Linked DNA regions of Oryzias latipes. The protein of the gene in region 1 interacts with the protein of each later gene in a pairwise test. Links are inferred from orthologs where the notes say so. Each region holds a gene or a part of one and is shown on either strand. Other genes may lie near its edges. The genes, in order: liprin-alpha-1 and receptor-type tyrosine-protein phosphatase S.

The links.
Region 2: the proteins of liprin-alpha-1 (region 1) and receptor-type tyrosine-protein phosphatase S interact in a two-hybrid assay, tested with the Homo sapiens proteins (2 studies listed by BioGRID). The link is inferred for Oryzias latipes from reciprocal best matches to the Homo sapiens genes PPFIA1 and PTPRS.

Annotation. Positions count from the first base shown.
Region 1 is NC_019861.2:2,126,771-2,142,691, reverse strand, and holds part of liprin-alpha-1, read right to left. Parts: intron 15,628-15,921; coding exon 15,394-15,627; intron 15,241-15,393; coding exon 15,094-15,240; intron 14,683-15,093; coding exon 14,548-14,682; intron 12,466-14,547; coding exon 12,382-12,465; intron 12,305-12,381; coding exon 12,173-12,304; intron 11,671-12,172; coding exon 11,608-11,670; intron 9,403-11,607; coding exon 9,329-9,402; intron 9,248-9,328; coding exon 9,097-9,247; intron 8,878-9,096; coding exon 8,872-8,877; intron 8,718-8,871; coding exon 8,494-8,717; intron 8,417-8,493; coding exon 8,185-8,416; intron 3,925-8,184; coding exon 3,895-3,924; intron 2,041-3,894; coding exon 1,916-2,040; intron 1,831-1,915; coding exon 1,658-1,830; intron 1,525-1,657; coding exon 1,431-1,524; intron 647-1,430; coding exon 635-646; intron 1-634. UniProt on the Homo sapiens protein: May regulate the disassembly of focal adhesions. May localize receptor-like tyrosine phosphatases type 2A at specific sites on the plasma membrane, possibly regulating their interaction with the extracellular environment and their association with substrates.
Region 2 is NC_019862.2:11,070,421-11,086,341, forward strand, and holds part of receptor-type tyrosine-protein phosphatase S, read left to right. Parts: intron 1-3,136; coding exon 3,137-3,730; intron 3,731-4,729; coding exon 4,730-4,821; intron 4,822-4,906; coding exon 4,907-5,148; intron 5,149-5,689; coding exon 5,690-5,777; intron 5,778-6,858; coding exon 6,859-7,068; intron 7,069-7,375; coding exon 7,376-7,536; intron 7,537-10,168; coding exon 10,169-10,180; intron 10,181-10,490; coding exon 10,491-10,606; intron 10,607-15,921. UniProt on the Homo sapiens protein: Cell surface receptor that binds to glycosaminoglycans, including chondroitin sulfate proteoglycans and heparan sulfate proteoglycan.

The DNA.
Region 1 (15,921 bases):
AATGTTAAAGTGCTTAGGATAGCACAAGGGTTACAAAGTCATAATGCACGCTTAAAAAATTAGTTCCTTTTGTGAGTGACCATGGTATAAGCAGATTAATCACCTCCAAAGTGTGTGTTATCAGAATAAACGCGCTTCGTGGAAGCAACCGTCACAAAGCACGTTAATTCTGATAACGCACACTTCGTCGACCATCAACCCCTACATATTCACTTCATGCACATTCTCAGCTGGTCATGGGCAGAACCACGGATTCTGACCAACCGTCAGAAACGCGTATCACCAGTAAATGAGGCACTAAGTCTGTCGCTAAGATGAAGCCCGACCTTCGGAGGCTTCAATAATTGAGACTGTGCGCAGAAACGTTCCTAGATCTTTGTGAGGAGGGACCGGTCTCCGCCGGCGTTGCAGTGCACGCCAACAACATGCTCCAAAGGGAAAGGTTTCACCCACTAAAACTCAGCGCAAGCACTCTGCTGTTAGTTAAGCTCCTGTGTGGGAAAGCAGGGTGAAGAGCGGCATGGAGACGCCGTCAGGCAATCAGGGGGACACATGTTTGGGGTCCTGACGGCTAACATGAAGCCCAGGGAAAGGAAAAGAAGAAGATAAGGCTAAACAATGGGAGCCAACTTACCCCGTCTTTGGACTACACATGGAATGAGAAGAAGGTGGTGAAAAACAAAAACAATTGTAAGGATGTTGACAAAGAAACAGAGAATGAACAGAAGCAAAAGTACAGCTGTGGTGGAGAACTCAAAACGATGGCAAACAGTCAGTGATTTGGGATGGAAACGCCTAGCGGTGGGATGAGGTGAGGAGACGGCAGTGAATGTGGTGGTGTGGGGGGGGGAGAAGCGTGAGGCGGGCCTGCTCTACGGTGGAAGCAGAACCATCCAGAGCCTCCGCTGCTAAATAATGCAAGGAAGCTGAATGTTGAGTTTGAATACTGGGGAGAAGCAGATGAGGCGGGTGGAGGCAGCATCTTCAGATCTACGTCTCTGAAACACAGCAGGACCTTTCTAGAAACCAGGACGGCATGAAACTAACCTGAAAAAGTTCAGACAAAAAACCCCAAAACAAGAAGAAAGTTGGTCACAACAACGTTCATGGATGTGTGACTCCATCATGCCTGTTTACACATGATGTGTTCTAACATGAATTGTCACGGATTGTAGCATCACATGGGTCCAGTTTTTCTACTATTCCTTCTTTACTCTTGCATTTCTGCAGCAGATGTTTGCAGTGAGGCAGCTCAGGTGCAGCTCTTCTAATGAGTGGAGCAGGTCGCCGTCACGTTGGCGTGATGCCATGGGGAAGCCTTGGAGACGCTCCGGATCCCTTTCACTACCACGGCTTCTATTTGAGGCCATGTTGTTGAAACCGGCACCACTTTGTGTCCGTTTGTGTTGTCGGTTCCGATCTGCACTCACTTCTTCTGCAGCTTCCGGTTCTTCTCTGCCGGTCCTCCGAGCGAGCCCATCCCGAGGCCTTCCTTTGGAGATCCTTCCGCCTCAGGGGTGCCAGCTGGGAACATTCAGAGCTTTAGCAGGACGACGGACGGCAGCAACTCATTCAAACCAAAACAAAAGCACAGCCGGGCTTTCTGCTGATCCTGTGAAAACTAAGCACTGTGATGGAGTGAAGCCTCAGCTCTAACCTTGGCTTGGCACATCCTTGCCGGGAAGGCTGGGCCGGCCCTTTTCCTTCTTCCCAAACAGGCGTCCAATGGAAGACTTGATGCTCTTCTTCTTGGCGGCCTTGTTGAGGGAGTCCTGGCTGCTGTTGCTGCTGCTGGGGTTGCTGCCCTGACCGTCCTGCAGGCTGCTCAGACTGCAGAAGCAAGACCCAGCGGGTGATTAGCCTGCCTTTCCAGACAAACCAAGGAGCAGCGAGTGCAAGCGCAGGCAGGCCTCACCCTCGGATGTCTCTTATGTCTTCATGGCTGGAGGCGTGGCCTGTCTCCCTGTTCAGGCGCATGGAGCGAGGAGTGGTGGGAGGCGAGGTTTCACATCGAATCGTGGCTTTGTCGTCCTGAGAGGACTGAGCAATGGCAGAAAAAACAAGAAACAGGTTCAGGTTCAGTGTTTCCATCACAGCTGAAGAACACGTGACATCAACACAGAGAGCACCAGAACAGAACTATGAAAACAAACCAGAACAAAAAAAGTCACCTACGGTTTGAAAAGATGGGATGTTATTTTCCCCTATAAGGACAGAAGACCCACTTTGAAGACCCACTCCAATGAAAATGTTTTTGTAGCGTTTTTCCTCATGCCGGAGGATATGAGTAAAAGAATTTGATTAAAACTGCATTTCTGAGTATTGAATCAGCAGCAGACCAAAAAAGCAGCTTGAAAAAGCTGAAACAGGCGGGGCCAGAGCCTCCCTGCTCCGCTGGAGTCCCATGCATCCACTATCAGACACACATGTACGTCATCCGAGCGGGCAGAGGTCCGCCTCTCCTGATATCCCATCATTCCCTGTGAGCTAGTTGGCTCAAAAGTCTACAGCTGGATAGCTCTAATATTGGTAGCCTTTCTTTATGTACCACTTATGTTAGGGCTAGTGGTGTGAGGGGCTGTAAGCTAGCAAAGGGACGGTGGGACGTCCGCGTCGGCTGACGAGCGTCCGTTTCTGATGAACTCTGATGAACTTTAGCTCCAGCATTTACGTTCCTTCCAATACCGTAACTCGCATTCTGAAGAATTCTGACAGATTTAGAGGATTCACGTTGATCACGCTCATGTTTGAAAGGTTACAGAAGGTCAAAGAGCGTGTTATTCAGGGAAAGCAAAGTGTGGGTTCTCCTCTTAAGCGTTAAAGGAAGTCGCGCATCTCAGCTAACCGTACAAATGACCATACGATGGTGCCGCTCCCCCTGCCTGGACCCTAACCCAGCTTGAGCTAAAGACTGATGCATTCAATTTGCATTATATTCAGGTTGATAATGTGCGAGGAACAAGGAAATCCCACTTTTGCAAACGCCATTCAAAATGTACAAACTTTAAAACCAATATTTTTTCCCCACGATGCTTCCCAACAAAACTCAGGAGGTGAGGAGGTAACCGATCAGAATCCTTAGGAGAAGTTTCCACCTGGAGCTGGTATTAAAGGCAAGTTTTTGTTTTAAATAAAATTCAAGATGGCTTTTTCATTTTGGCGAGTATGTGGCAAAGGTTGTTTTATTTCTCAAAGGCTCCGTAAGAAAGAAAAATGGCAAAACAATCAGAGAGATATGAACCCAATCACGGTAATTCCTTCCTTACTATGTAGTCCACCATGTAGAGAGTAGGAACGCTACCAACCAAAGGTTGAGTAGTGAGTAGCGTTCCTACTCTCTACATGGTGGACTACATAGTGCGTTTGCCATTTTGTAGTGCTGTCTGAATCTATGGCTGTGTCCGTATTCCCGGCCTAACCCATAACTATAAAAAAAACTAGATAGTGGGGCACCATGTAGTGCCCTGGATTTTAAAAGCAATTCGGACGCCATGCTCACTAGTCGGCGGATACGACGTCATTGATTTCACAAAGGTAGAATCTAATTGAGATGAGCATCTTGTGACGATTATTTATGATGTTTTCTAAAAATAAAAATGTTTATGAGAAAAACTACATTTAAATACTTTTTGTTCCGACACAGTGCATTGTGGTCTATATAAACCGATCCAGTGAGCATCGATGAACGCTGGGACTTCTGGGAAATTTCCAGGGCTCTGGATTTTGGGATTTTGGATTTGGACAGCACTACAAAATGGCGAGTACACTATATGGTGTGTAGGGAAGGAATTGGGACACAACGTAAACTTGAAGAGTAGATGGGGGCGTCACAGGATGAACAGACTGTGGGGGTAAAAACATTTCACTCTGGTCTGCAGGCTGTTGTTGGTTTACCTTCCTGCGGTGCTTGCGCAAGTCACTAGGCTGACGAGAGGCAGAAAATGGAGAAAGGAGACAAAGCAGTTAGTGAGACGTCAGCAGAGGAACAAAGAACACAAACGCAGAGACACACCAAGAGACACACAAAGAGTTCGTTCCTAAAGCGTTCAGAGCTGCAGCACGTCACTCTGGAGGAGGAGGGATGGGTGCAGCCGGGTTCAAAAGACGGAGCTGGTCCGAAGGCCTGGAGGAGGAGCCTTCTCCAGTAAAACACCTGAAGGTTTGGTCTGTGCACAGAGGGGGGGGGGGGGGGGGGGGGGGGGTCTTTCCACCACATTCCTCACAAACCTGGCATTAGAGCACATAAAGCACCACATTTCCATGACTTTCTTTGCCTCAGGGGGGAAATACCCAATCAGTCGTTTCCTTCCCTCCACAGACGGAGGGGCCAGGCCGGGGAAGAGATTACACAGCTATAAAAGGAAACAGGAAGGAGAAACCCAGGAGGGAGCAAACATTCAGTTTAGGACTGAACTTGTGCTGCATTTCCCACTTTTTCCCTACAGGAATCACGGAGGGGGTTCACTTATTTTACTCAAATCCGCTGAGACGTACAACAGAGTCCTTATTAAAGACCAAAATCTGTAAACCTCACTTCTTTTATTTTTTTCCTTAAAACCAACATAAAAAAGGTCTTTCTGCTGCAGACAAACAGGCTGCTGAACTCCTGACCGTCACGAAGCAGAACAGACGGAGCAGCTTCAAACTCAAACGGATCATACGGGCAATCGGTGCACTTTTCCAAAAACAATCAGCCCCCAGGGCAGAGCTGCACTCCAGACACAAAGTATGCCAGCAGGGCGGCGCCGCAGCAGCCCGCTCATTCACACCATAAGTCTGTCTGCACATACAACACCACAGAAAAACAGACTTCTGTGTTCCATGTGACTCCTTTTCTACAGGTCCGTGTAATGGGGGCAAGCCTCTTTGCTGGTCAGAGGTGCAGCTCGCATGCTGGATTGTTTCAGACGTCTGATCACAAAGACATGCAGCTGCAGCCGTCTGCTCACAGAGACATGCAGCTGCAGCCGTCTGCTCACAGAGACATGCAGCTGCAGCCGTCTGCTTACAGAGACATGCAGCTGCAGCTGTCTGCTCACAGAGACATGCAGCTGCAGCCGTCTGCTCACAGAGACATGCAGCCGTCTGCTCACAGAGACATGCAGCCGTCTGCTCACAGAGACATGCAGCCGTCTGCTCACAGAGACATGCAGCCGTCTGCTCACAGAGACATGCAGCTGCAGCCGTCTGCTCACAGAGACATGCAGCTGCAGCCGTCTGCTCACAGAGACATGCAGCTGCAGACGGCTGCTCACAGAGACATGCAGCTGCAGACGGCTGCTCACAGATATATGCAGCTGTGCCGTCTGCTCACAGAGACATGCAGCTGCAGCCGTCTGCTCACAGAGACATGCAGCTGCAGCCGTCTGCTCACAGAGACATGCAGCTGCAGCAGTCTGCTCACAGACACATGCAGCTGCAGCCGTCTGCTCACAGAGACATGCAGCTGCAGCCGTCTGCTCACAGAGACATGCAGCTGCAGCCGTCTGCTCACAGAGACATGCAGCTGCAGCCGTCTGCTCACAGAGACATGCAGCTGCAGCCGTCTGCTCACAGAGACATGCAGCTGCAGCCGTCTGCTCACAGAGACATGCAGCCGTCTGCTCACAGAGACATGCAGCCGTCTGCTCACAGAGACTTGCAGCCGTCTGCTCACAGAGACATGCAGCTGCAGCCGTCTGCTCACAGAGACATGCAGCTGCAGCCGTCTGCTCACAGAGACATGCAGCTGCAGATGGCTGCTCACAGAGACATGCAGCTGCAGACGGCTGCTCACAGATATATGCAGCTGTGCCGTCTGCTCACAGAGACATGCAGCTGCAGCCGTCTGCTCACAGAGACATGCAGCTGCAGCAGTCTGCTCACAGAGACATGCAGCTGCAGCCGTCTGCTCACAGAGACATGCAGCTGCAGCAGTCTGCTCACAGACACATGCAGCTGCAGCCGTCTGCTCACAGAGACATGCAGCTGCAGCCGTCTGCTCACAGAGACATGCAGCTGCAGCCGTCTGCTCACAGAGACATGCAGCTGCAGCCGTCTGCTCACAGAGACATGCAGCTGCAGCCGTCTGCTCACAGAGACATGCAGCTGCAGCCGTCTGCTCACAGAGACATGCAGCTGCAGCCGTCTGCTCACAGAGACATGCAGCTGCAGCCGTCTGCTCACAGACGCATGCAGCTGCAGCAGTCTGGACGAAGCATGCAGGCCGTGTGTGTGCAGGATCACACTCCCTGCTTTCCTCAACACAACTCTTAACTTCTGCCTGTAATCACGCTGGAGCCAGAAAAGACCTGGTTAGTATCTGTGTTCAAAACCCTGACAGAAGGAGCCGTCACAGTCGATCCCTGTTCACACATGGATCCGCTCAGAAATAAAGGCTCAAAGTGCACCTCAATGAGAGGAAGCTTCAGATAAACCTGAGAGCTGCAAATGAAGATCCCTGTGAGCTTCTGCTATTCTGCCGTCAGAGGATGAGGGAAGGAATCCTTCAAACAAGTGTTGATGCAGGAGACTAAATGTCCGTCCTGACTCACAAAAGAGCCTCACGGCTCTAGAGTTATGACACGAACCTGGTGTCAGCTTAAGAATGAGAACGCCAATGGTTCAAAGATGCATACCTATGGCGTTCCATGGCTGCCATTAGTTGAACGAGCGCAAAGCCACGCAGGCGCAATGCTAACCGAGCGACCCCGCATTTTACAACTGCACTGTTGCCATCCTGACTGCGCGGCGCTCCTGTAAGCAGTGTTTAGGGGGCGTGTTTGGGCGGTAACCTCTCTGGTTGATCAGATTGGCCAGACGGCGGATGTAACGTGGATTAAAACATTAACCAACGGCCAAGAACAAGGTCAGGAAGTGCAGCGGGGCTGTTCTTGTTCACTGCGCGCAAACCCAGCGAGCGCCGGAGCGCCGCGCAGTCAGGTTTGCAGCCATGCAGTTGTAAAATGCGGGGTCACTCGGTTAGCATTGTGCTTATGTGGCTGTAAGGTTCCTCACTCAGCTCCTGAAAACACTCGCTCAGTTCTTTTTGCGGTCGTTCAACTAATGGTAGCCATGGAACGCCATACATAACTGCTGCTTTGTGGCAAAACAAATAAGAGGCAGCATCTTTGAGAATTTAAACTGACACTACAGACCTGAAAGCTCAAGCACACTCTGGCTGCTGCCTTCACACCCATAAACACAACATGTTGAGGCCTCAAATATTAAAGGAAGAACCACAACAAACTTACTATCAGGCCAGTCAGTATCTTTTTTATGTACACTGTTCCCTTATCTTAGTCGTCTTTTGTTTTTCTCAATTATTTCAGATGCTTTAAGGCTATAAAAGTCCTGACTACACATGTTCTCCACGTTTCTCAGACATTTTCACTCTCTTCTCTCTTGTTTAAATTCTCAAAGTTCAAACCTTGAATGAGTCCGGGATTATAGATTGAAAACAGTCAAAGATTTATGTAAATGTGGTCAACTGAATGTATTCTGTGCAGGAGACACGACAGGGAGAAGATTGATTCATCTACAGCCAATCAGGACGCAGAACCCAATGCGCCGTAAGAATAAAACCTTAAGTTTCACAGTGAGGCCATGAAAGGTGGACAGCGTCACAGAGAGGGAACTCTGAGACATAATGGAGGATTTTAGCAGGACCGTCTGAGGGAAAAGTTAATAATAAAAGCACAGTTCCTTTGAAGTTTTCCTTAATTGTTTGTGGCCGTTTGGCTCTTAAAGCTATGCAGACGTCTGGTTTGAATGAAGCCTCTTTGAAGACTCACTGTTCATTTGTCTGATCTGACGGAGGAGGATGGAGGAGAAAACACGCCTTCAATCTCGTAAAAAGGAGCAGAGGAGACAGGAAGAGACGGGGCTGCACCCACCCCGGGGGACTGGGGGGGGGGGGGGGGGTCTGCAGGTACCTGAGAGTGTGGGGCAAAGCCACAGGTGTTAGGCGGGGGGCTGAAGCCAGAGGCGCCATATGGCAAGTAAGTTAGTGTCTGCTGGGAGAGCCAGCTCTGCATGATGTAAGGGTCATAGCAATAATGCTGTGGGGCAGCGGGGGGCAGAATACACAGATGGTTACACATGCATGTTAATGCTAACAGCCCCAATGATTGGGGAGGGGGTGTTAACAGTCAGCATCTCTACTACATTTACAGAGCAGCTCAACTAGGAGGGGAAGGACAATACCAAGGTCATGACGCCCATCCGGTCCAGTTCTCTGTTGGGGCTGCGAGGAATGCGCCTGGGGGTGGAGTGACCCGAGCTGGGCGGCGAGCCGCCCAACGAGGAGCCGGCACACAGAGAGGGCGGGATGGAGCTCAGGGAGCGGAAGCGCCCTCCGATGCTGTCGCCGCTGCCCACCCTGCACTCGATCTCCTCTGCTCGGATGGCGGTGCTCTCCTTCTCCTCCTGGATCATCCTGCCAGCAGCAGAGGGAGGAGCTCAGTGCAGGTCTGCGTTCGGGGCGTGGTCGGCGCTGCAGGCGGCTGCTGGTACCTGATTTCATTGTTGATGGCATCCAGCTGCTCCTGCAGCATCAAGGCCAGCGTCTGTGCATCGGCCTGACCAGCAGGGGACAGCAGGTCCACAGAGTTGAACATCATCTCCCGGTCCTCCTCCAGGTCAGACACGTCCATGTCGCTCTCGAAGGCCTGCGCCACGTTAGCCAACACGTTCGCCTGCTGCATGCGCTCCCACTCCTGCTCGTTCAGCGTCTGCACCTGCAGCGCCGAGGACATGAGCACAGAACCCCGAGAAGGTCGTGAGTGGAGTGAAGCAGGAAGGATGCGAGAATGAAGAAGCGGAAGGACGAGAGTTTGAGATAAACGGGGCAGTAAATATTCAAGCACACAGGCCACAAGCACATGGACTTACATGTCGCTGGTGTCCACAGCGGAAGCAAACAGAAAGAAGCAGAGAAGAAGAAGAAGAAAACCATCAGAGAGCTCAAACATTGGAGGGAAACAGGAGAGACAACACAAAGGCTGTGACAAAGACCCCCCCTGCAGAAGAGCAGCTCTTCGCCACCAGTCACTTTCGTCGTGTTATCAGCTCAGGACAAACGCACACAGTATGTGACAGGAGCGTGTCAAAGCTCACCTTGGACGGCTCGTCTCGGAGCGCCACCATCCTCCCTTTCTGAGGTCGTCTCAGAACTAGAGCGCTGCCAAAGCTGTCGGAGTTGCCGTCCATCATGGAGGACGCAGACACTGGATACCTGAAATCTGGGGTGCTGCCCAGCTGAGAGCGCCTACAAACACACAAAACCAGAACACTAAGAAGGCGCCGCAGGCTTCATCGTGGAGTGAATGCTCTCCGTCGACTGGCTGACCCGTGGAGGGAGGAGTTGCTCCTGCCGATCTCATTCTCTGCTCTCATGGTCTCAATTTGGATGAGGAGCTGCTCCTAAGAGTTAAACACATTTCACAAACAAAGTCCTTATTTGGCAGAACCCATCTTCAACTGACAAACGTCATCAACCATGGTGGACGATGCTGCTGAGACCAGTCAGTGGAAGGGAAGCAGGTCACCGATTGGATTCATATTGGGGGTGACAGCTCTATTCAGGCCAAACTCAAGGGCTCTTATCGCAAACGGGCGGTTTTTGAAAAAACTCCCAGCGAAATGGCAGAGCGTGGTGTTGAAACTTTCCAGGGATGACTTTTTTTCCTTTCCGACCGTGGTCAGAAGCGCGGGGGACAGAAGGTGGATCCTCCTTCAGGGTTTACTTCCCCGTTTGGACCCTTAGATTCTCCAGAGTGGGTTAATAAAGAGTCAATAGTATTTATTCTGGGGGGAGCCTTCTTTTATTACCGTTCTCTTTCCTCCTAACACACAACATGACAGCATGGTTCAAGTCCCAGCTGGGGGACCTTTCTGTGTGGAGTTTGCATGATCTCCCCGTGCATGCGTGGGTTCTCTCCGGAGTCTCCGGCTTCCTCCCAAAAACATGCTTCATAGGTCAATTAGGAACTCTAAATTGTCCATAGGTGTGAGTGTGAGTGTGTGTGTGATTGTGGCCCTGCGACAAACTGGCGACTTGTCCAGGATGTCCCCTGCCTTCGCCCGTAAGTGGCCAGGATAGGCTCCAGCACCCCCGTGACCCCGAAAGGGAATAAACAGAGTGAGTGAGTGAGTGAGTGAGTGAGTGAGTGAGTGAGTGAGTGAGTGAGTGAGTGAGTGAGTGAGTGAGTGAGTGAGTGAGTGAGTGAGTGAGTGAGTGAGTGAGTGAGTGAGTGAGTGAGTGAGTGAGTGGTTTAATTGTGTTAATGTAGTCGGACAAATTCAAGCCAAAGCCTTTTATGTTTAGGTCAATTTCTTTCTTGTGTTCTTTTAGCTGCAGTTCTTTGTTTGTTCAGGGTTCTACTGGGGGACCCGGGTGGGTGGAGGGAGGAATCTGGTGAGGGAGGGGTCCCATCTGTGTGTGTGTCTGCGTTTTCTGTTATTAATTTTCATTATTTATGATTATTTTATCTGTTCTTATGTTAGCGCTTTGTGTTTTTAACTCAAATGAAAGGCGCTATATAAAGAAATTAACTTTGAGTTTAATTGTCCACTTTGAACTGTTGTTACTTTTCTTTCCATGATGCCAAAATGGTCACTTTGCTTTTGTAAAGGATAGAATTAACATGTTGTGTAACGTTTGAATGTTTAATTTGATTTATCTTTATTTTGATTGATGACAGGATAAAAGTAACATGTAACTTCAGAGTACATATGATTTAAAACTTTCATCAAATTAGAAACTTTGACACATTGTTGACATATTGTTTTTCCTGCTTTGTAAAATACTGATGGCTAATGTGAGCTATTTAAGAAGTGAAATAACTGGTTTGCTTTTTTTTCAACTGATTTCTCTATTCCTAGACCCTTTCTAAGTCAGGTTATTTTTTGTGTTGTGTCTGATCCTCAATTTGATGGTGAGCTACCCAACAACATGATCCTGAGATCCTGATACTAACACCTTCAAGTACGTCTCATCAGCTTCAGCAAACCCCTCAACTACATCACCACCAATAGATTTTTGGATCCAACTCAATAGGACTCAGACATGGTCCCTCTTTCCCTGTTTTGTACTGTTTAAATGTTTGTTAAAACCATTGATTGCATTTCACTTTCATCGCTGCCTTGGGCTCCCTGAGACGACTTGTTCTGTGTATTTTAACCTTCTGGTTCGTCAGTCTGTACCATATGCTTCTTCACTTGAGTGAGTTTGAACTTTTTCTTTCACGTGAATGGAAGAAAACCTTTGAATTTTTTTGGTTCTTTCAGCACACTGAAATGGTGATCCAATGCTTCACTGGCGTTGTTTCACACTCTGCTTAGGCCTCTTTGGAGGCGTTATAGATCAACACTTTTGGTTAAAAAGAAGCCAAAAATCAGACCGATTCTCAGCAGAGCTTTCCGTCTTCCTCAAAGGCCGGGTTTGCGTTCTTTTCATCAGTAAATCTGCACCTTGAGCTGTTAAATGAACGTACTGGCTGAGCTGTTGAAACATTGAGCTTTTTAATGATGTCAGTAAAACAGTTACAGTTACATTTATGATCTAAAGGGGGTTACAGTAATGAGCACATTTAACCTGACAACTACAAAACAGTCATGTTTTCATACCTTTTCGTGATGAGACTCTTCAATCAGCTTCTTCATGTGATCGAGTTCTCTAATCAGAGTGTTCTGAGGGAGACAGGTAGACGGTCAAACACTGAGGTCATTGCTTTGGCAGAGAGGACACCATTGACTGTATCAGAGTCCTGGACGGAGCGAGTGTGACGTCATCCACAGAAAGGCCTCACTTCCAACGCCAGCGCGGCCATCTTGGAGCCAGAGGGCAGTGATTGGTCAGTCCAGATTTCTAAAGCAACAACTGTCGCCTCTGTTTGAAGTCTCCCCTTCCACTGAAAGTGGCTCAGGGGGAACCTGGGGGTTAGCGGGAACCACGCGCTTTTACTGAGGCATCTGCTTTAATAACGAGAATAGGAGTGTATATAATATGAAAAAAAACATTAGGATTAGCAAGAAGATGTTAAAATAAAGGCATCCGAGCAGGAGTGGTTATTTTGGATTTTGGCTTCTTGGAACCAGCGGGTACTTCCTGTTTGGAACGGCAGGGGGGAGGGGTTGTTTTGTCCAGGTCTCAAATACAGTCAATGTTCAGAGCATGCTGTTGGCTCATCACCTTGTCCTCCAGAGCAGACATCCTCTCCTTCAGGTGCAGCTGCAGCCTCTCGTTGGATTCTGACAGCAGCTTGTCCACCGTCTCAGACAGACGCCGGTTGTGCTCCTCGTTCATCTTCTCCCGCTGACGCGCCTGTAAAAGCAAAATACGTCCTTTCTACCGTCCACACGCAAAACACGCGGCCACAGGAACTCCTCCAATGAGCTCACCCGCAGCAGCTCCTGGTTCTTCTCCTCCAGTTGGGCCTCCAGTTGCCTGAGTCTCTCCTCCACGTTACCATGGCGCTCCTCTGCCTGCACACAGATGATCGCAGCTTTGTTTTTGGTAATATGGCGTTCCAGGGTCGGAACATGAAATCGTCACAGACCTGGCTTACAAAATTCGGCCATCTTTGTGAGAATGTAAACTTCAGCTGAGAGTTTACAGCAAAGAGAGGAGGTGAAGCTTCTCCCCCCACAGAGCTATGCTACACTAATTTATTCAGCTCATTCCGTAAATAATCAAATGACTAAAACTAACGTGTTTTTAAAAAACAAAAGAGAAAGAAATGATGGAACAGTAAAATAATCCAATCCTCCTCAGAACTAAAGGTTATGCTGAACTTGAAAACCAGGCATAAGGAGTTTCTATGAAAGGCTGCTATGAAATAGTTCTTTCAGGATTTATTTGTTTTGTTTACTTTGCACAGGATGGTGTTTTATTTTTAATTAACCGAGTAGTGGGCCCTTTGGGGCCGGCTATCCATAAGCCTCTTCCTGTTTATGTCAGACCCTGAAAGGAAGAGTCTCCTGTGGCTGTAAAAAGAGGAAGGCAGTGGCAGCAGGAGGCATCAAAAGAGCAAACACACCTGTGTTCACTACAATGGAAGGTAACGCGTTCATGGACTTCATCAATGACGTCCTCCCTAACTTTGATGCTTTCAGGAATGGAGTCATGAAGCAAACTACAAATGTACACGGACAAAACCTCCAGGCTAATATGGCAGGTTTTCTGTCAGCTTGATCTCCATAGCAACCGTTTCATGCGGGGGGGGGTCTATGTAATTTTTTAGGAAAATTGGTAAAACAACATTTTACGATTCCCTTGACAGAGATTTCTGCTAACCACACCCACATTTCTAATACGTTAATATCTTCTGTCATATAGTTTTGTTCGGCTTGAGCCAACGACTCGTGTCTTACATATGAAGTAATAATAAGTATTAGGGGAATAAATGCCACTTTTGGAAAAGTCTACAAACTTTAAAACCACCTTTTATTTTCTTTACTTTTCCCCCCCAGGTAGCTTCCCAACGATGCTCGGGGAGTAATGGCAACCATTTCCAGAGGTCAAAGGTCAACGAAACTTTTGTTGTTGTGAACTTAACCTGGTGCTGTGTGTGTTTTCTTTCCCATATTGTGTTAAAATTGACAATTGAAATTTCAGACTTTGCCACAAAACGGTAGTGCAGCCGTAGGTCCTGTGGCCATCCCATAATAATGTCAAACTTCATTTGGATATGCCTGGCGTGTGTCTTTTGCTTGCCTTAGTGGATTTTGAAATATTTTTTAGCCTTATAAGAGATTTTGGCCTCGTTCGTTTTGCTGACGGTTCTCCTGCTGTGATGTCATCTTCTCATTTATTTATCTCGTGTGGTGTGTTCTTGAACGTGCATATGGTGTTCACACTAGACTGACACTATGCAATACTATGGCATGTACTCACGGTGAGAAGAGGCTTGGTGTGGAATGTCAAAGCGGTGAAAATATTGTGAATCTTGCCTCCAGGCCTTTCATTTCACAGCTTTTATTTATTTATTTTTTTGGAAAATCGCCATAGAACTCCAGCCGGGCACAAACCGCAATCATTAATTTCTCCTCAGCTCTCAATTTTCAGCCAATTTGTACTTCTGTGTTTTGAAAAGGATGCTATCCATACGTCACTACCAAAGCCAGATTCCTGATTTTTCAAACGGGTTTACTTTTCACAGTGTGTTCAGTTGTGGCGCGTTGTGTACGTAGAGCCTGAAAACGGACTTAAAAACTTGCATAGCAGTGTGTGAATGCCAGTTTTGACCGCAGAAGCCCAAAACGTGCATTAACGTGTGTTTACATGGGCTTTTCATTGGAGTCAGTCGCTCGAACGGACGTTTCTGAGCCCGGTGTGGACGCAGCACCAGAGAACATCAGGTCATCTGCTCACCAGACACACTGGAGAAAAAACTTGTCTTCAATAGAAAACCAGAGAAAGCTGATTCTATTTAACAAAGTGATCAACTAAAGCCTCTATAGAGCACTGGTACATCAGAAGAGGAAAAATATGCTCTTAAGAACGGATGGGTATAATATTCACACTGTCAGAACCCCAGCTTCCTTCTGATGGACAGGTGCTGGTACCTTTGTGAGGGCGGCGACCCTCTGCGCCAACTCCGCTTCCACCTCAGGCAGAGTCTCCGCCTTGCGAATGGTCTGTTGCAGTTTCTGTTCAGCCAGTTCCAGCTTCTCCTGGAGCTGCCGGTTTCTTTCCTCAGCCTAGTGGAGAAAAAAAAGAATAAAGGGTGGGGTGACAAAAGGATACGGAAGATGGGGTGAAGAACGGGGGGAGGGTGGAGTGGGCAGGAAAAGGGAAAAAAGAGGCCATTTAAGATGCCACAAAGAAGAATGATGAAAAGAACTGAAGGAAGGCCTCTGCAGACAGCAGAACAGGCCCGTGTCTTCAAGGCCTTCCGTTCAGAGGCCGCTGTGCCGAAGAGTCTGAATGCAGCAAGAATTCACTAGAATCACCCTAAGACCTGCAGCTGAGATCTGTAGACTCAAACATCAACATCCCCAGAAAGGGCAGAAAGGGCTATGAGCTAGAATATCTAGACTAGGTATTTGATCGGTATTGAATGGACTGCTGGTTCCTCTTTGAGGAGTTCTGGGCTGGAGTTCAGGACATACTTGTCTGAACAGAGACTCCTTGTTGGCCACTTCATTTTCCAGCTTGTCGTTGAGGTCGTGGACAGATGTGGCCTCCCGCTGAGCTGCCAGGTAGCGCTTCTCCAGCGTGGTGATCCTCTCCTCCATGTCCTCCTTCTGCGCCATTGACTGATCACAGAAACATTCACATGTGTGAACTCGCATCAGCAGCAGCACCGCCAACAGCGTGCATTCCTGTCACTCTGCTACGGGTCTCCAGAACACAGATTCAAGCTAGAACACATTGATAAGGTTTTCCTGGCTTTGGAGCCGCATACGGACCTCTCTGAGGTCTCTCTGCAGGCGGGTGCTCATGTCTTCCGACTTGATGAGGTCTTTTCTGGCCGTGTCCAGGTCCTCCTCCAGCTCACTGATTCGGGAAACCATAGCAGCCATGCGCTCCTTCATCTGGCCCAAATCAGCGGCCTGGCGGTCCACCACCTCTTGGAGATCTCCTGCCTTCCCAAAGGCAGAGCCCGACTCCTCTTCTTGGCTCAGCGAGCCATCGGATGATCGCTGAAAAAGGGCAGATCTGATTAATTGAACGACGACTGTTTGACCTGCTGCCTCGTTACATTTCTGTCTTCCAGCTGGTCACACTTTTACTTATTGCTTTGTGTTTGTTGTTGCCTTAGCCTTCTATGTCTCTGTAAGGAGCATGAAAGCTGCTGTATCTCAGGCATCATGAACCGGACAACAGTTTAGATCACGGGGCCCCAAATCCAGGCCTCGAGGGCCGGTGTCCTTTTCCAAGCAACCAGCCATCGAAGCTCCTTATTGGCTAAACACACCTGATCCAGGTAATCGGCA
Region 2 (15,921 bases), on another chromosome or scaffold:
CAAAGATTTTATATGATGAACCAAAGATTTTACATTTTGATTCATCAGCCCTTAACGCTTTCTTCCAGTTTTTAGTTGTTTGATGGTGGTGGGTCCTGTTCCAGGCTAGCCTTTTTTTTTTTTTTTTTGTGCCATCTTCATTTCTTTCTGCAATTTTTCCTATCAAGTCTGCAGCTTGAAGTCTTCTTCTGTTGACAGAAAAAGCTGAAGGTATTTTACAAGGACTACAGTTAGGATGTGCTTCAGTCTGTTGGCCTATGAGCCACCTACCAAGCATAAATAAAGTTTCAGAAACCTGTTATTTTATTCAGTTATGACTTTGTGTCTGCCAGACCTCTTCCTGTCAAGGTTTCACCCAGTTTCAAAGCACCTTTTGATGGTAAAGGGAACTGTACTCACTGACACCTTGACTTTCAGCACTAGTATATAAGTTCAACTGAAACACATAAGGGTTTGGTACCACAGTGCATTCCAGCGCTGCAAAATTGTTTTTGGTAACCCTAACTACTTAAAACAGTTATTTGCTGGCAGGTTGCAATTTATTTTGTACCATTTCAAGCTATTCATTAGACTTCCTCACTATATTTCTAGCTAGGAGGCTCTATAAAAAAGTTTTCAGTAATAAAGAAGGTGGACTGTTACTAGATTTATCTTTCATTCTCACACATTTTTTTCTTGTCTTTTATCTGTTTTTTAAGTCCCTATTGGCTAGCTGTAACCACAGTTAAATGTTTGAGTGATCTTTCTTTGGTTAAATTTGGCACACAAAGTTTCAGCATCTAGTTTTCCTTGTTTTTAATTTTGCACATACAGATAGGGCTTTTGTTTTTAATTTTGCACATACAGATAGGGCTTTTTTTAATCTATTGGATATATTTTATGAGTGTACATCAGTGGAAGTTACAAGAAAAAAATAAATAAATAAATGAAATCACCTTGGTCTCCGGCAGGCAAGTCTATGTCAACAGCAAGCTCTTAATACTATAGCCTGATGGGAAACGTGCCGAGAGTCAGTCAAAGACGGATTGAACTGGGGTCGACCCTGAAATAGACATATTGGGTGGGTTTACAAAAGAACAGCAGGGTTGGAAAAATGGAAGAAGAATCAAGGTGACCAGAAAATCTTTTTTTTTTTTTTTTTTTGATCATGTGAACGCACAAAGTCCCACACATATAGATCAGGCTACTCATATCCCCGTTTGGTCTCTCCTTGTGGCTGATTGCCCCCTGTCCTTTTGTCACCTTCATCATCCCTCATCCACTTGTTGTTCATCCACTCACCATGCCCTGGCTCTCCTATAATCATCCTGTGGATTCACTGGTTTTCCACTTCTACCTTTTTCCTGCTCATTTTAAAAGTGAAGCACAGAGGTGGGAATACACTCACGGAATGACTCGGTCACATTCACAGATTTTTATTTCCGTGATTAACAGTGGGAGATGATGGCAGAGTGAGCTTTTAAACCACACTGAGATGAAATCTATGAGCCAAAAGTCCTGGGAGGATTCTTCCATTCCTTTCAATACACTTAGTGAAAAAAGTGAGCAGACAAACCACCATCTCCCCTCATCTTCAGACCATTAGCAAACAGAAATTAAAAACGAAGGGATGAGGATGTGGTTGGTGGAGTGTATACTGTGGTGTGTGTGGGTTTTGCTGCATGCACACATTCACTGACACCATGACACTCTTCCATAGAGGCAGAGTCTTATTGCCTGAGACGAATGTTGGCCTCTTCAAATTACTTTAAGTCCATGCCGGGCAACAAGCCAAATTGCTCTGTGTACATCTGGAACGGCAATATAGAGGATGAAGATGGCTGCACACTCGGGTCTAGATGTGCACAAACTGCTGTTGCACATGTAAATACTGTGCACAATAGTCCCCCAAAGCTGTTGTTTCTCACATAGGATGCACACAGGCGGTCAGAGGAAGGCCGTTTTTATTTTTTTCCCCATTTTCATTTGTTTGATTCCATTCATGCTTTAAATTTGAATAAAGACAGTTTTCTGTAAACCCTGTCTTTGCAACTATCAGAGTGACACATTTAGATTATCAATAAATTAAATTCACAAAGCTAAAAGAAATAAACCTTTTATGACTTTTGCTATGCTGCTCATCCATTAACAGATCCCGAAGTTCAATCAAGAGCCCCAAATGACTAAAAACTTTTAATGGCTTTTATTTTTCCATTTCCATTTGCATAGAACAAATAATGATGATGTTACATAATGGCAAGTGTAAGAACTATTCAAAATAATGGAGTAGTGAGATTCGGGGTGCAAACATAAACACAAAGAAGACCGTCCTTAAATGCTATTGAGAGAAATAGAAAATTTTCCGCAGCCACATTCAGACACCGCCATGTATTTGTTCTGCTGCTATGGTTATTTCCGAGGAAAGAGATGCGTCAGACAGGGAGTTAAAAAATATAATCTGTTTATGATGATATGATGCTCAAAAGTAAATCAGCGACACACATCTCTCTGAAAGCTTCTGACAGTCAATTGAGAATTGAGAGCTTCTCTTTGCTGATATCTCTGTGATGAGACCTCAAAAGGCGGGTTCAGATGAAACGTGTGTCATCTTTAAGAGTGGCAAAATGGGGCCACTCTGAAGAATGGAGACTGGGCCCTACGGGTAGATCATCCATTTTGCAACAAGACCTGCCTGCAACTGAAAGATGCACTGTTTTTCCTAAACTTTAAGTGATGCTCAGTGGAGCCGAGGGACTTTGGATGGATCTAGAATGTGTTGAAATGATAACAGAATCAATTGGATCATCCATATCTCCATGCAAAAGCATCATCTCTTTGCTAGCTTATGGATTTATTAAAATCAAGCACCACATACCTTTGTTAAAATTTCATGCATGCCAGTGATGACCATGATTAAATAATCTCAAAGAATAAACTGCAGGTTTGTAGCTTGACCCATTTTGAGCCAAAGTGCCTTTTTAAAAATGCAACTACAAAACCTTCATGTTGCAAAGGAATGATGGGTTAGGAAAGATCAAAGTTATTTTGATGAAATGTATACGTCCTTTTAATGGTTATATCATTGATTTAAAAGCATTCTGCATTCTTATACATGGAAATAAATAAAAATGTTGTTTTTTTGTTTGTTTCTGTACAGTGCCTGGTCCTCCTTATCTCTCGGTGGCTCAGAACTCAAAGACATCTGCTGTTGTTCACTGGGACCCTCCAGACCTGACCAATGGCATGGATCTGCAGGGTTACAGGCTCCAGTTTGGCCGAAAGGACATCACCCCTTTGGCCACACTGGAATTTGCTCCGCAAGAACGTCGGTACTCTGTGGACAACATTCATCGGGGAGCCACGTACCTCTTCAAGATGGCAGCCAAGAGCAGAGGAGGCTTCGGGGAAGAAGCCGTGGCAGAACTTAGCGTACCTGAGAATACGCCGGGTGGATACCCTCAAATTAAAGAAGGCTCTAATGTAACATGCTGCTCTGTGCTGCTGTCCTGGTCTCCACCGGTGTTGGCAGAGAGGAATGGAGTCATTACGGAATACACTTTGGTCTATAAGGAAGCCGGCACTGGAGAAATACCACGAGAACTGCGCTTGCATCCAAGCCTGTCCAGCTATGTGCTGAACAGCCTCAAACCAAACTCTGCCTATGAGGTGAAAATGCGAGCGCACACCAGTGTAGGTCCAGGGCCCTACAGCCCACCTATCCAGTATCGGACGGTGGCCATTCACCCAGCAGGTAGGGCTTGCCTGTTTCTTTCCAATCCCAGTGGCAGGGGGTTGGAAGTAGGCTAAGAACAATCTGCAACAACACAAAAATGAAAACCGCCCCTTCCACTCTTCCAAACACCTCCACCTCCTTTTAAAAGAATGAAGATTGATGTTTAACCTGTTTGCTGTTGGACACTCACTTCACTAACCTAAAACAGGTAAAACTGTAAGTCAGTAAGTTATAGTCAGTCAATTTTGGAGGTCAGCCTAGAATTTTAAGGTAAGTGCAGTTAAGTCACTCCTGTCAGTCCTTGCAGCGCTTTTTGAAGCGCAGTCGTGCAGCTAATGCAATCCCACAGCCCCAGTTTTCAAACAAGGTAGGAGCTTAGTCACTCCAAGAGTATAGCCATTCTGGTAAAGCAGAAGTCTGATTTTTGATTTGATTTGATTTATTTATTTATTTGTTTTTGTTTATTTTGAGACATTATTCCTGTCCCCTCCAGAGGCTTCCTTTCCGTCCCGTCCCCCCCCCATCCTGCTACAGGACAGCTTGTGGCATGGTATCCCACAGATGCACTGCAGAGAACATTTGGCATGCTTTGTTCTGGGTCTGTCTTGTTGCCTGTGTGGCTGCACGTTGGCAGTGCCAAGTCAAACTTTGCACCAGTGTAAAAACAGTTGGCGGTCATTGGAAATACGTGGCTCAGTTGCTAATCATCGAGTGGTCTAAGTGAGTGGTGAAATGGTTTGGCACTGTCTACAATGGCTAGCCAAAGGGCACACCCTTGTGCTCAATGGGTTTTTCGTCCATGAGTCTTGCGTGCTATGTGTTTTAACCAATAGCATTGCCTGTCTCACAGCTAATCACAATTCATTAATGTGCTCACTCTTCAAACTAGGGGGAACGTTGCAAGACAAGAGGAATTAACTTTTTAAACCAAAGGTTCTTCCTTTTTGTTTTCCTTGATCTGGTTTTGCTAATAAAATGCGCTCTTTTTTTTTGTTTTTTTGTTTGTCTTCTTAACAGATGTTCCTAAAAACTTCACTGTGAAGTGGGCCACCAAGACCACAGTAGTGCTTGGGTGGAAGTTTTCTGAAAGGTCGCCGTATAAATGTGTGGTGAGTTAAGTGTTTCAGAAAAACAATCTCTTGAGAAGTTGAGCTGTATTTTGAATTTTAAGACTGACAAACTTCTAAATTCCAGATCGAGTATGCCCACCAGAAGAAAGATGTGGACGCCCGGGAGTTGAAGGCCTTCATTAAAGGGCTAAGGCATAACACCACTTATGAGTTTAAAGTGACTTGCCAAGAAAGCACCAATAGTGGGCCACAGCATCGTGTGACAGCCAGAACCGCTCCGCTTCTTCAAATCAAGAAGCCCACGGTTTCTGAGAGAGAGAATGTGCTCATGATGTCCTTCTCACCAGTAAACACAAAGGATGTCAAGTGAGTATTGAGACACAGTGTTCTCTTATTTATCGCGGGGGATACATTATGTAAATAACTCGTGATACGTGAAATCCAGGAAGTAGAATTACAGATGTTTTAAGGCAGGAACGCCCCTTAGTACACACTTTATACACGTAAATATTTTCCCACTTTACTGTCTTGTTTAAACTCTCAAAGATGAAATGTTTGAAGAAAAAAACTCTCCAGTGTTATAGAATGACCAGGATTAATATTTGTGTAACTCTGGCAAGCTGCATGGGAGAGATTGATTGACAATAGCAACAGCCAATCAGGACGCAGATCACAGTGCATTGTTTAAGGAAAAAAAAGCTTACAAAGTTGCGCAAAACAGAAAGACTGCAAAAGATGATCTGTAATATAACGAGGGAACCCTTTATTTGGCCTCTGCTGTTCTGTTTAAATTATATTGAAGTGTCAGAAGAAGTAGTTGTTTTGGTTAAAAGTATTTTATTTTGTGTTGCTGAGCTTCAAATCAAGCTTCTTTTTTTTGTCTAACTCCTTTGGCGCTTCATTTCAGGAACTTCTATGTGGTTGTGGTGCCAATTAGGACAAATTCAGGAACCGTTAAAAACCTGATAAACCCTGATGAGATGGACATGGAAGAGGTGAGAGCAAAATCTAGGTACACTTGTGGACATAGGGTGATCAAAATGAATACAACTCATAGATGGAGTAACAGGAAGAATTTTCAGGGAGGGATTCTGTTTGTGTTTCCCAGCTGTATTGTGAACAGCCTGTACTAGAATGTGCACATGCAGCTCAGACATCACAGCTAATGCAAATGTATCCCCAAAAGCATGCAGAAGAGAGCATTACAGTCCATATCCACTCTTCCCATAGCTTGGGGTCTGCAGCCTTGAGCTGCAGATCAGCACGGCAACCACCCCCCCCCCCCCCCTGTTAAATTTGGGATTACACACATCCTCTCTACTTAGCGGTTGCCTCTGTCTGTAGTTGGAACTAAGTGTGCGGGCTTGGATGTGTGTGTGTGTTTTGTGTTCTTTTTTTCCCATATTAGGCAGCTTTTTAAAGCCAGTTTTTTTCCCTTTGATCTCAAACAGTGCACCGAAAGGCTTCAAGCTCTTTTCACCTCCCTTAGACCCTCAAGTAAACATGTTCAACAATAACTTATAACACTTAATCCTACCACATAGCACTTTGGGGAAAGGGCTGCTGACTGTGACAGTACAACTTGTGCATTTTTACATGAAAGCAAGAGCTTCTTTTATCATGCAAAAAAGAAAAAAAAAAAGAGTAGACTAGAAATCTTAGACTGTTTATGCGGTCAACGTAAAGCAGCCGGTTGTATCGCAGACAAAACAAAGTCCCTTTTCTCTGCAACAAAACCAGCTAAATGATATAATGTAAACACTTTACCTCTGTAAAGTAGTAAAAGGCTTCTCTTTTCAGCTTCAGAATCCGCTGGAATTACCTTAATTGCATAAGCGGTTGACAAGTTACAGTTGTTAAAGGAATGTCAACACTGCAGCTAAAGCGCCGCTGTTAAAGGGTTTATTTTTGCCATTTTGTTTGATTTACAAATGCTAAACATATTTCTTTGAATCATGGGAAAATTTGTTAGATTTTCTAGATCTGTTTGTACAGTTTAAAAAAAGATACATATTGGATTGAATATACAAAACTGGATGCATTGGGAAACCAATTAAACCTCTGCATGTTGAGCAGCTTTTGCGGGTGGTCCCGAAGCACCGCTCACGCCGGCAGCTGGCTCAGCTAGACCAGAGGGATGCCTACATCACAGCGTGCTTCAAACAGCTGCCCCTCAGCTTCATAGTGGGATCTGACAATCGCCACAACAGCTGTGAGAACAAGCCCCTCGAACCTGGTCAGCAGCATGTCTTCTTCCTGCTGGCTGAACTCAATGCCACCGCAGGGGTGAGTTTTGGATCCAATCAGTCTCCCCTTGCAATCAGTAAATTTCACCATTTTTTTTTTTCCAGTTTTGATGTATTCTGCTTCAACTTTAGTCATACAAATATTTTTTTAACAAAATTGTGAACACCTAATTTTGAGTAATAATTGTGAGTTCAAAAGGTCCTAGTACAACTACTGGTTGGTATTTTTGGTTGAAAATGTCAAAGTGACTTTCATAGGACTGCCGGCGTGTTGGTTTTCCAAGCAGAACATGTAGATGTTACCAAATGTGCAATGATTGTAAACGTGTTATTTTTTCTTCTTCTAGAAAATGTTTGCAACAAGCCCCTACACTGACACGGTGATGAGCCCCGAGCTGGTGGTGGATCTGCCAGCAGAGCATGATGAAACCCAGCTATGGGTGGTGGGCCCCGTTTTGGCTGTGGTCTTTATTATCTGCATTGTCAGTGCCATCCTCCTTTATAAGAAGTGAGTTTTTGCTGTGTGCAATGTTTTAGGCAACATTCAGACTCCAGAATGTAAATGTGAGACTGTTCAGCCTCAAATGATAGAAGGCAGCTGTCAGGCTTCACTAAAACTCATATAAACTGGAATTTATATGAGTTCATTCTGCATTCCAAAAAAAAAAAGAAACTGTTTTATAGAATATGTTTCCCGTCATTTAGTGGGAAAACATCTTTTTCCCATCGTGTTTGATGATGAACAGTCATAAACTGGAACATCATTGCATGTCAGGATGCATGTCAGAACAGGGGCAAATCTTTTTATTAATTCCAGCATGGAATTCTTAAGGACCCAAGTACTTTTTTGCATGGAAGTATGACAAAGTTGGAATGTAGAGGAGAGTTCATCACGGTAGTGAGCTGGTTGGAAAAAGAAGAGATGAGATTCTGTGGGATGATTTGCAATAATAGCTTATTGAAGCATAGTGTCTAAGAGTATTTCAGTGTTGCCGAATACCATTCCTGAATCATTGGAATTGAACATTTCTCTATAGTTGGTAAATTTGTTTTAACTCTTTAACACCAGAGATACTGTCAGGGACACCTAAATAACACGCTTTTTGAACTACCATAAATCTTTGATCGTTTATGGAATTAATGTAATTCCAATGGATTCTGAATCAGAATCCATTGCGTTCATTGGTTAAACAGTCAAAGGGTTACAATAGTCCAAAGAATGTCAAGACAGGAGCTTGAAGAGTTAAGAAACCTAAAAAAAGAAGATTCTAAGGTTTTTATGCACCTCAGATGATGGAAAAAAAGTTATTTGGTCCTTAACAAGTCCTGAAATTTAGTAAATGTGCACTCTAAATTTATATTTACACTGCCCTCTGCAACGATCGTTCAAGCAACCACTTCCAATGAAAAGTCTATATAAATCCCCTTAAATGTTTTTTTTTAACTTTCATGTTAAAAACTCTCGTGTTCATGCTTCGCTACACAAGTTTCTACGATCCTTTTTGGGCTGAACATACAAAATGCATTTCAATTGAATGTACGTTGACAGTTAAACCAAGTTAACTTTTGACTAATCAGGAACCCGGATTTGGAAGTGACGTGTAAGTGTCCCTTTTAATTCACAAAAGTGAAGATTGAGCATGGAGGAGAAATTAATAACTGCAGTTTTTGCCCAGCTGTAATTATAATAATCCATTTTATTTTTTATTATAAAGCGCCTGGGTGGGTTTGAGTCTGTATTTAAAGATAGGTAACGAGTAAATGATACGGAGGTCCAGGGGGAGAGAGTTCCACAGTTGGGGTGCCAAGTGGGTGAAGGTTCTGCTCCCTATGGTGACCAGTTGGATGGGGGGGTACAGAGAGCTTCAGAGAAGAAGACTGGAGAGAGCACGAGGGAGTGTAGATATGGAAAAGATCATATAAAGAAGGTGGGGCCAGGTTATGGAGAGCTTTGAAGGTGAGAAGAATACGTTTAAATTATATTCTGAATTATGACACAATGTTAGTTATGAATCGAAAAAAGAATAAAAAGATGCCCCTCCCTGGTTGTTTAGCATGAGCCCCATGGGCTAAATGTGCATCCAAGAATGCACGTTTGGTGCATTCTTGGATGGGCGTCACATGCATGGTGTGAATGTAGCATAACTGTTATTTAAAGACTTTTACTCATTTTCTTCCACATCCTTTCTTTCAACAGTTAAGTTTCAATGAATTTCTTTTAAAATCAGCTCTCAGAGTCGACTCTGTGCGGTTGTGATCTGGATTTTGAAATAGTCCATGAGCAATCTCTGTGTTTCAACAGCACAACAAATTAAAATCATTGCACCTTGGGAATGTTGACCAACCCAATAATTTTTTTCAGAGGAAACCATACCAAGAATCAGTCAAGACAATTTGATATCTGTCATTTTGTGTCTGTCTGTTCTGTGAGGTTGTATTAACCTGATTGAATACCTGATAAGGACCAGATCTTTTTTTCATGTGCTCATGCAGAGATTCTTTAAAGAGAACTATTTGTGTTTATACACTACAGTTAGGTTAGTCAGGAAAAAAAGCAATGCATTTTCTTGAATCTTATTAACTCAGTCCTCAATCACCAGAAAGGGAATTCCCTGCAATATTATAACTTGCCAAAAATTGCACAAGTCCAGTGCTCTATTTTCAGATTATCCCTTGTTCTGTGACCTTACCTAACTGTCGTTTTAGCGTTTGGGGAGTGTAACATCTCTCCTTGGATCTGTCTCTTTTTTTCTCTCTTCTTTTTCTGTCCATCTTACATTTCCACCCCTCCCCATCCCGATGAATATTATGTCCCGGGTCTGTTTGTGGCCCTGATGTTCCCTGTCCTGCCCGTGTCTGAAAACTTGTGCGTCCACACTTAGATGTACATACACACGCTCATGTGTCGACGCCCTTAACTGCGCATTTCATTGAGAACTTACTCATTCTGACCCAGTGTTGTACATACTGATGAGCCTTTTCTGGCTTTTTGCAAGCCCAGCAGTGACCCCTGTAAATTTTAAACTGCTCTCTATTGATTTGTACTTCTTCTTGCCTCCCCTTCTCCCTTTCTCCTTGTGTGTTGTGTTTTTATCATCTTTATATATTTATTTGACTCCTGTTGCTTTCTCTGGAAACAGCAAACCAGACAGGTAAGGCACAGTGCTACTTAGACTCAGTGTCATTTACACGAGAGGACAAATTAGCCTGTCTCAAAAAAGATGAGGTTTTTTAAAGGGTGATTTAGTAAATAGGATTGTTTTGTTTTTTTTGTACTTTCTTTACAAACTCTACTTTGTTGCGTCTTTTTTAATATGCAGTATTACCAGTTTCTCACATCACAGATTAGAGAGTGTTTTTCTGTTTTGGTTTCTGTACATTCATTGCTCACCAATCAAATTCTGTCGTTTTTGTTGTGCGTCTCCCCCACTTTCCGCCTCTTTTGTTCGTGTTACCGTCCAGCCACAAAAGAAAAGAGTCGGAGCCTCGCACCAAATGCCTGCTCAACAATGCAGACATTACACCCCATCACCCTACAGACCCTGTGGAGGTGAGACGCATCAACTTCCAAACTCCAGGTAAGTCACACGCTCAAAAATGCGTTTTTCAATCTGTAATTGTGTTTAAGACAAGAATTTGCAAAAATCTCATGTGGTGTTTAATACATTATTATGTTATACAATAGCAAATTTAAAGTTGTAATTTAATGCCCTAAATTACAAAGCTATAGAAGACAAAAATAAAAACTCTCCCTCTTGATACTAGATTTTTCATTGTTATATAAAGCTAGAAAATGCAAATTAGACAGGATATTCATGTAGGGGAGTATAAAAGAGCCATAAGCTGACACACAAAGTCAAAAAGCAGCCACATTCACATTATTTTGCTGGATGTTTTTTTTGTTGCCTGCAGGCTATACTTAATTCATTTCCATATCTCTATGTATCAATTCACTATCGACAAATAACTGTATGCTTGAAACTAAGTCTTGTGTTGGCCTGAAAACCGAGTATGCTTGTTCTCCAGGGTTTACAGACATCCATGTTTCTCTTTTCTATCTCTCTGATGTTTGTCCAAACTTTATCTGATGTTAGCGACGCAACATGTTACATCATGTCCGCGTTCTGCGGGGCCTCCATGGCTCCAGCTCATCTAAGATCTTGCAGAAGCATTTCTCGCTCAGACTGTCTGTGCTCACAGGCCTTGTGCAGTTTGGCTTCAGTAGCTACACTTTGTTTTGTTTCATCAAAAAGCACATATCAGACAATTCAAGTTTTGTTTTCTTTGTTTTGTTTTTTATTCCACATTTTCATGACCAGCTACAAACCATGAATTATAAATATGTAAATATCTCACATTTTAGCATTTGGCCTAGTTGTGGAAAACAGGAATCATTTTTAAGTTTTGTTCACTTCACTACAAGAGATGCATCCAAATCTTGAGAAACTTGTCATTTTTGTTCAGATTTGTTTCCCCTCCATTGAGGCAAACTTATAGAAAAGGAGAATAAGCTCCAGAGGTGGCAAAAAACATTCTGTTCATTTTTTTTTTACTCTTACCCTGCTGTAGCCTAGCCTAGATTTCTTTCAGCTATCCATCTGTCATACACGGTCAGTCTCTGCACCATCAAAAGACTGCGTTTTCAAAATAGAGCATTTCTGTTCAGCTTCTCTGGGAGTCAAGCTGCGATCTGTCTCGAGTTTGCGTCTTTGGGAAAAACAGACTTCTTTATGTGAAAGAAGAGATGCTGTGTTGAAAGGAGGATGCTTAAACTCACGTAGACAAAGGATGTTGATCTTCTTTTAACCATTCTGTTCCCCTTTACTTTTGAGAAGAGGTATCAATGATTCTGAAGGATCTCTCTCATCTTTGAATAGTAAAAATCTTTATGATGATCCTTTAAGTCCTTTATTTTAATACTCATCAGTATACTTGGAAAAGAATACTTAAAATATGAACACTATTTTTAAACTCTGTCATTGTTGCACAGAACTGGGTGCTGTTGTTAACTTCACACCCCAAGAATTTAATTAGAACAGACATTTTAGCCCAATTTACTGGGCCGGTGAGCATTTCTGAATATCCCCATCAGCTAATAGCGAGCCATTGTTCAAATGAGCATACTCCCAGTTCAGTTATCCAAGCCCTTTTCAATCCAGCAGAGCATATGCTGCTTCGGCTATGTGAGCTCGGTGACCCGTGGTGCTGAGAAACAGGAATTACACTTTAAATGGGGTACCAATGAGCAGAGTGTGTGTATTTACACTGTGAGCACATGTGTGAATGTTTGTGCTTTAAAGCCTGTAAGTGCTGTGACAGCCTCACAATGATAGTCTGAAACTCCTTGAGGCAGAGTGTCTGGTTTTGTCATTGTCTCCTTTGAAGCCATGAGTTTAATTGGCATAGGAGTCCAAAGTAATAAAGCAATGCAGCTCAATGGATCTCCATAGTTTATCTCCAACCAAGCTATTTTTTTCCCCTCACTTTTTGTCAGTTTTATTTTAACCTTCCATCGGATCCACAGTCTATAAAATGGCAAACCATAGCAATTAGCAATCATCCCATAAATGCAAACCAGCAGCCAGTAAATACACTTTTTTTTAAAAGGACAATTCCAGCAATTAGCATCACCCTGCAACAGAAATTATAAGTAAGGAAAAGTGGAAGGAATTTGATTTTCGAATAAGAATGTGCAGTTGAGTGCAAACTTTTGACTTTTATTTATAAAATTAAAATAACCCTATGTATTTCAACACAAGCAGTGGACAAGGGGCATTGTGGGAGTTTATATTTTTAGTGATTTTGAGCATCGAGCATCAGCGTATTTAAGCTTGTTGTTTTGGTCATCTTTTAGTGTTGTGTTAGTTAAATTTTATTATCGCCATTGACTGTATATAAGAGCCGGACCGAGTCAGAGTGACGTCACCCGTAGAAATGAATTGCTTCTAGCTACAACGAAATTAAGTGAATGCATTAGACTTTTTTTGCAATACAGATTCCCCTATATTGGAACCAGAAATTGTCAGTAAGCTTTGATTTGTCCGAGACGGCTCAAGTCAGCATTTCAATGGTAATCACTCTTGCCAGTCAGGAGTGAGCTTGTTGGAAGTCCACACCCCTATCACTTGATAGCGGACTCTGGAGAATCTTTCAGATATTTTGAACGTTCGATGTGAGACCACATTCCAACAGGATCTTCCTGTTTGGATCGCGAGGGGGGGAGGGGTCATTCCATCCAGTTTTTACACAGTAAAATGGCGTGTGCTTGTATGGCGCTTGTCTACCTTCCTCGAAGGCCCAAAGGGCTTTACAGTGACAGTGACTGTATGACACAATGACTGGAGAGAAGGATCCAGTCACAGAGGCAAGGGGGGGTTAGGTGTCTTGCACAAAGACGCTTCAAAAACATGGGCGGGCAAAGAGGGAATCGAACCAGCAATATTCCTATCAGAGGTTGACTGCCGTGCCACTGCACCGCGGCCGCCTCCGATAAAATCAGACTCAGTCGGCCACAGCTAGAATGAGGACATTGCATACAGAAATAAGGTGATGGTGCTGCAACATGATGTCATGATGGTTATCATGGAGGATTTGCTTACCAAGGAATAATAGGAATCTGCTGCACCATAATTCTGAGCGTCAAGGTGCTGAAGTTCGAGGTGCAAAATGCACATTTGCCACACAGAATTATAATTTAATGTTTATCCAAGGAAAGGAAGAATAGTTTTTGGAACAAAGGCTTGAACTTTTTTCAGTTAATCCGGCTTGACAGTAAACTTGACGCATGTTGGTTTTACATGAAATTGCAGTCAATTCTAATACGTAAATGAGTGACTTGTTCTCTAGTGCATAGCTGGTGATTATTATTATCTGCTGTTACTGCGGAGAAAATACTTCATTTATTTGCATTTGGAAGTAGTTCATGTAACTTGTATAAATCTTCCTGATGCTCTTTTCCTTTACAACAACAAAACTGAGCTTTTTTCCCCCACTGTATAACCTTTAACTTTGTCTGAATGACTGTTCATTAACTAGCAAAATGACTTGCTTGGCTATGACAGAACTGTCTATACTTCCTTTTGACACTAAATGCAACAAAGGAGCCATTCAAGTTTTAAACATCTTTATTTCTTTATAGTCGGGTAACAATTTCTGCAAAAATACCTGTAGTTCAAATTGCATAAACAGTTTTCTGGTTGGTCCAAACTTTGTAGCCTGTTTAGACCCAGTCGACTGCAGTCGTTGGAAGCAAACAGTAGAAATGATTACTTTAGACATTAAGACTTTACATATACATTAACTAATATATTGTCGATGCATTCATAACACTAAACAATTGCCCAGGAAAGTTTTAATTAGTGCTTTCTTATGCATTAAGTAAAGTTGAATAATAAACATAATTGAATTGCTATTTGATGCCTAAATGCATTAAATAATACACTTGCTAATGCAAAATAATCCATCAGAGTGTCTGTTAACACATTATTTGTGAGTTAAATAATGCTTAATCATACATTAACATTAATAAATGATACAGTAATGTGAAGTGTTAGCAGTTGCCCCTCTACCTTTCAGTTATGCCTCTGCCTCAGTGAGACTTACTTACTTTTGTTAATAATTATTAATAAAGAGCTTTTGATCTTTTATTTGCTGTTCAGACGGAGTTTCTAATTATCTAATATTTTTTTTACTTTTACTGCAAGGTTTTTGTACGTGACTGACAGAGTTGGCATTTTGATTACCCGTGTTGGAGCTGTTTGTTTGACAGCTACTATGACCTCTATGTGCAAAAACAACTTAAAGCTCCAGTTAATCAAACATGCAGAGGGATCACTGTGTGGCGGGCCTGGGTACTGCAGCATATTTCCTGACAGCATGTCTTCAGTTCATATTTGATATATTAATCTATCAGTAATGTTTAATTTAATTTGAAAAACAGCATTAATGCAGTTGTGAAACTTTGTCTACCAACACATGATCTCGTGTCTACAAAAGTGGAAAAGAATGTCTCATGTTGACTGAAAAAGTCCCACCAGCCAGTTGCTGGCACCAACAATCAGCTTACATGTTTCCTCTGATTACAGCAACAACTACAACAAGCGTGCCCTCCTCCTCACGGTTCTGTGGAATCGCACACACCACTCACTTACACATAAACAGCATCAGACAAGCCTGTTCCTCCCCCCCTGCTGTGATGAATGACGTTTGCAAACAGCGGATCACAACACCACCCGCTAGGCTTAATTAGTCATTGTCACAAATCAATTAGATGGAGGGGGATGTTCAGTGTCTTCATCACTTTTGCTCTCGATTGATGCTCCTGGTCCGATATGTTTCCACCAAGACGCTGTGAAAGGTAAACTCAGATGGAGCTTACAGCTGTTTATCTTGTTAAATGACTAGAGAAAAATGTCCAGATGTATCACAGAAACTGAAGCTTTTTTTGGCTTGCGTTGGGTTTACAAAATCAATTCCTCAAATTATACTGACCTTGATTTAGGCGATGCAGTATTGAGCCATCAAATCCATAAATCTAATGTCTTTTAAAACAACTCTTTGTATTTTTTCATGGAAAACACAGTTTCTTTGTTAGTTTTCAGTGTGAGAAATAAAAGAATCGACTTTTCTTCAGTTTAACTCTTTAGAACTGAACAATACAGATTTTAAAATTGGAATTTTTTCTATATTTAATTTAAATCAAATTGAACGCAAACAACAACTTGCTTCTATCAGCTGCCTGTCCAGTTATTGTCATCCTTTTTCATTGGTCGGGGAGAACAGAGTCCTCAGCAGTGTTGTGCATGTTACTTTAAAAAAAGCTAGTCTGCAAATCCACTGTCTCTGCTACTTCCTGTTGTTGCGATCTAGCGTGGAGAAAGCATCAGCACCGCCC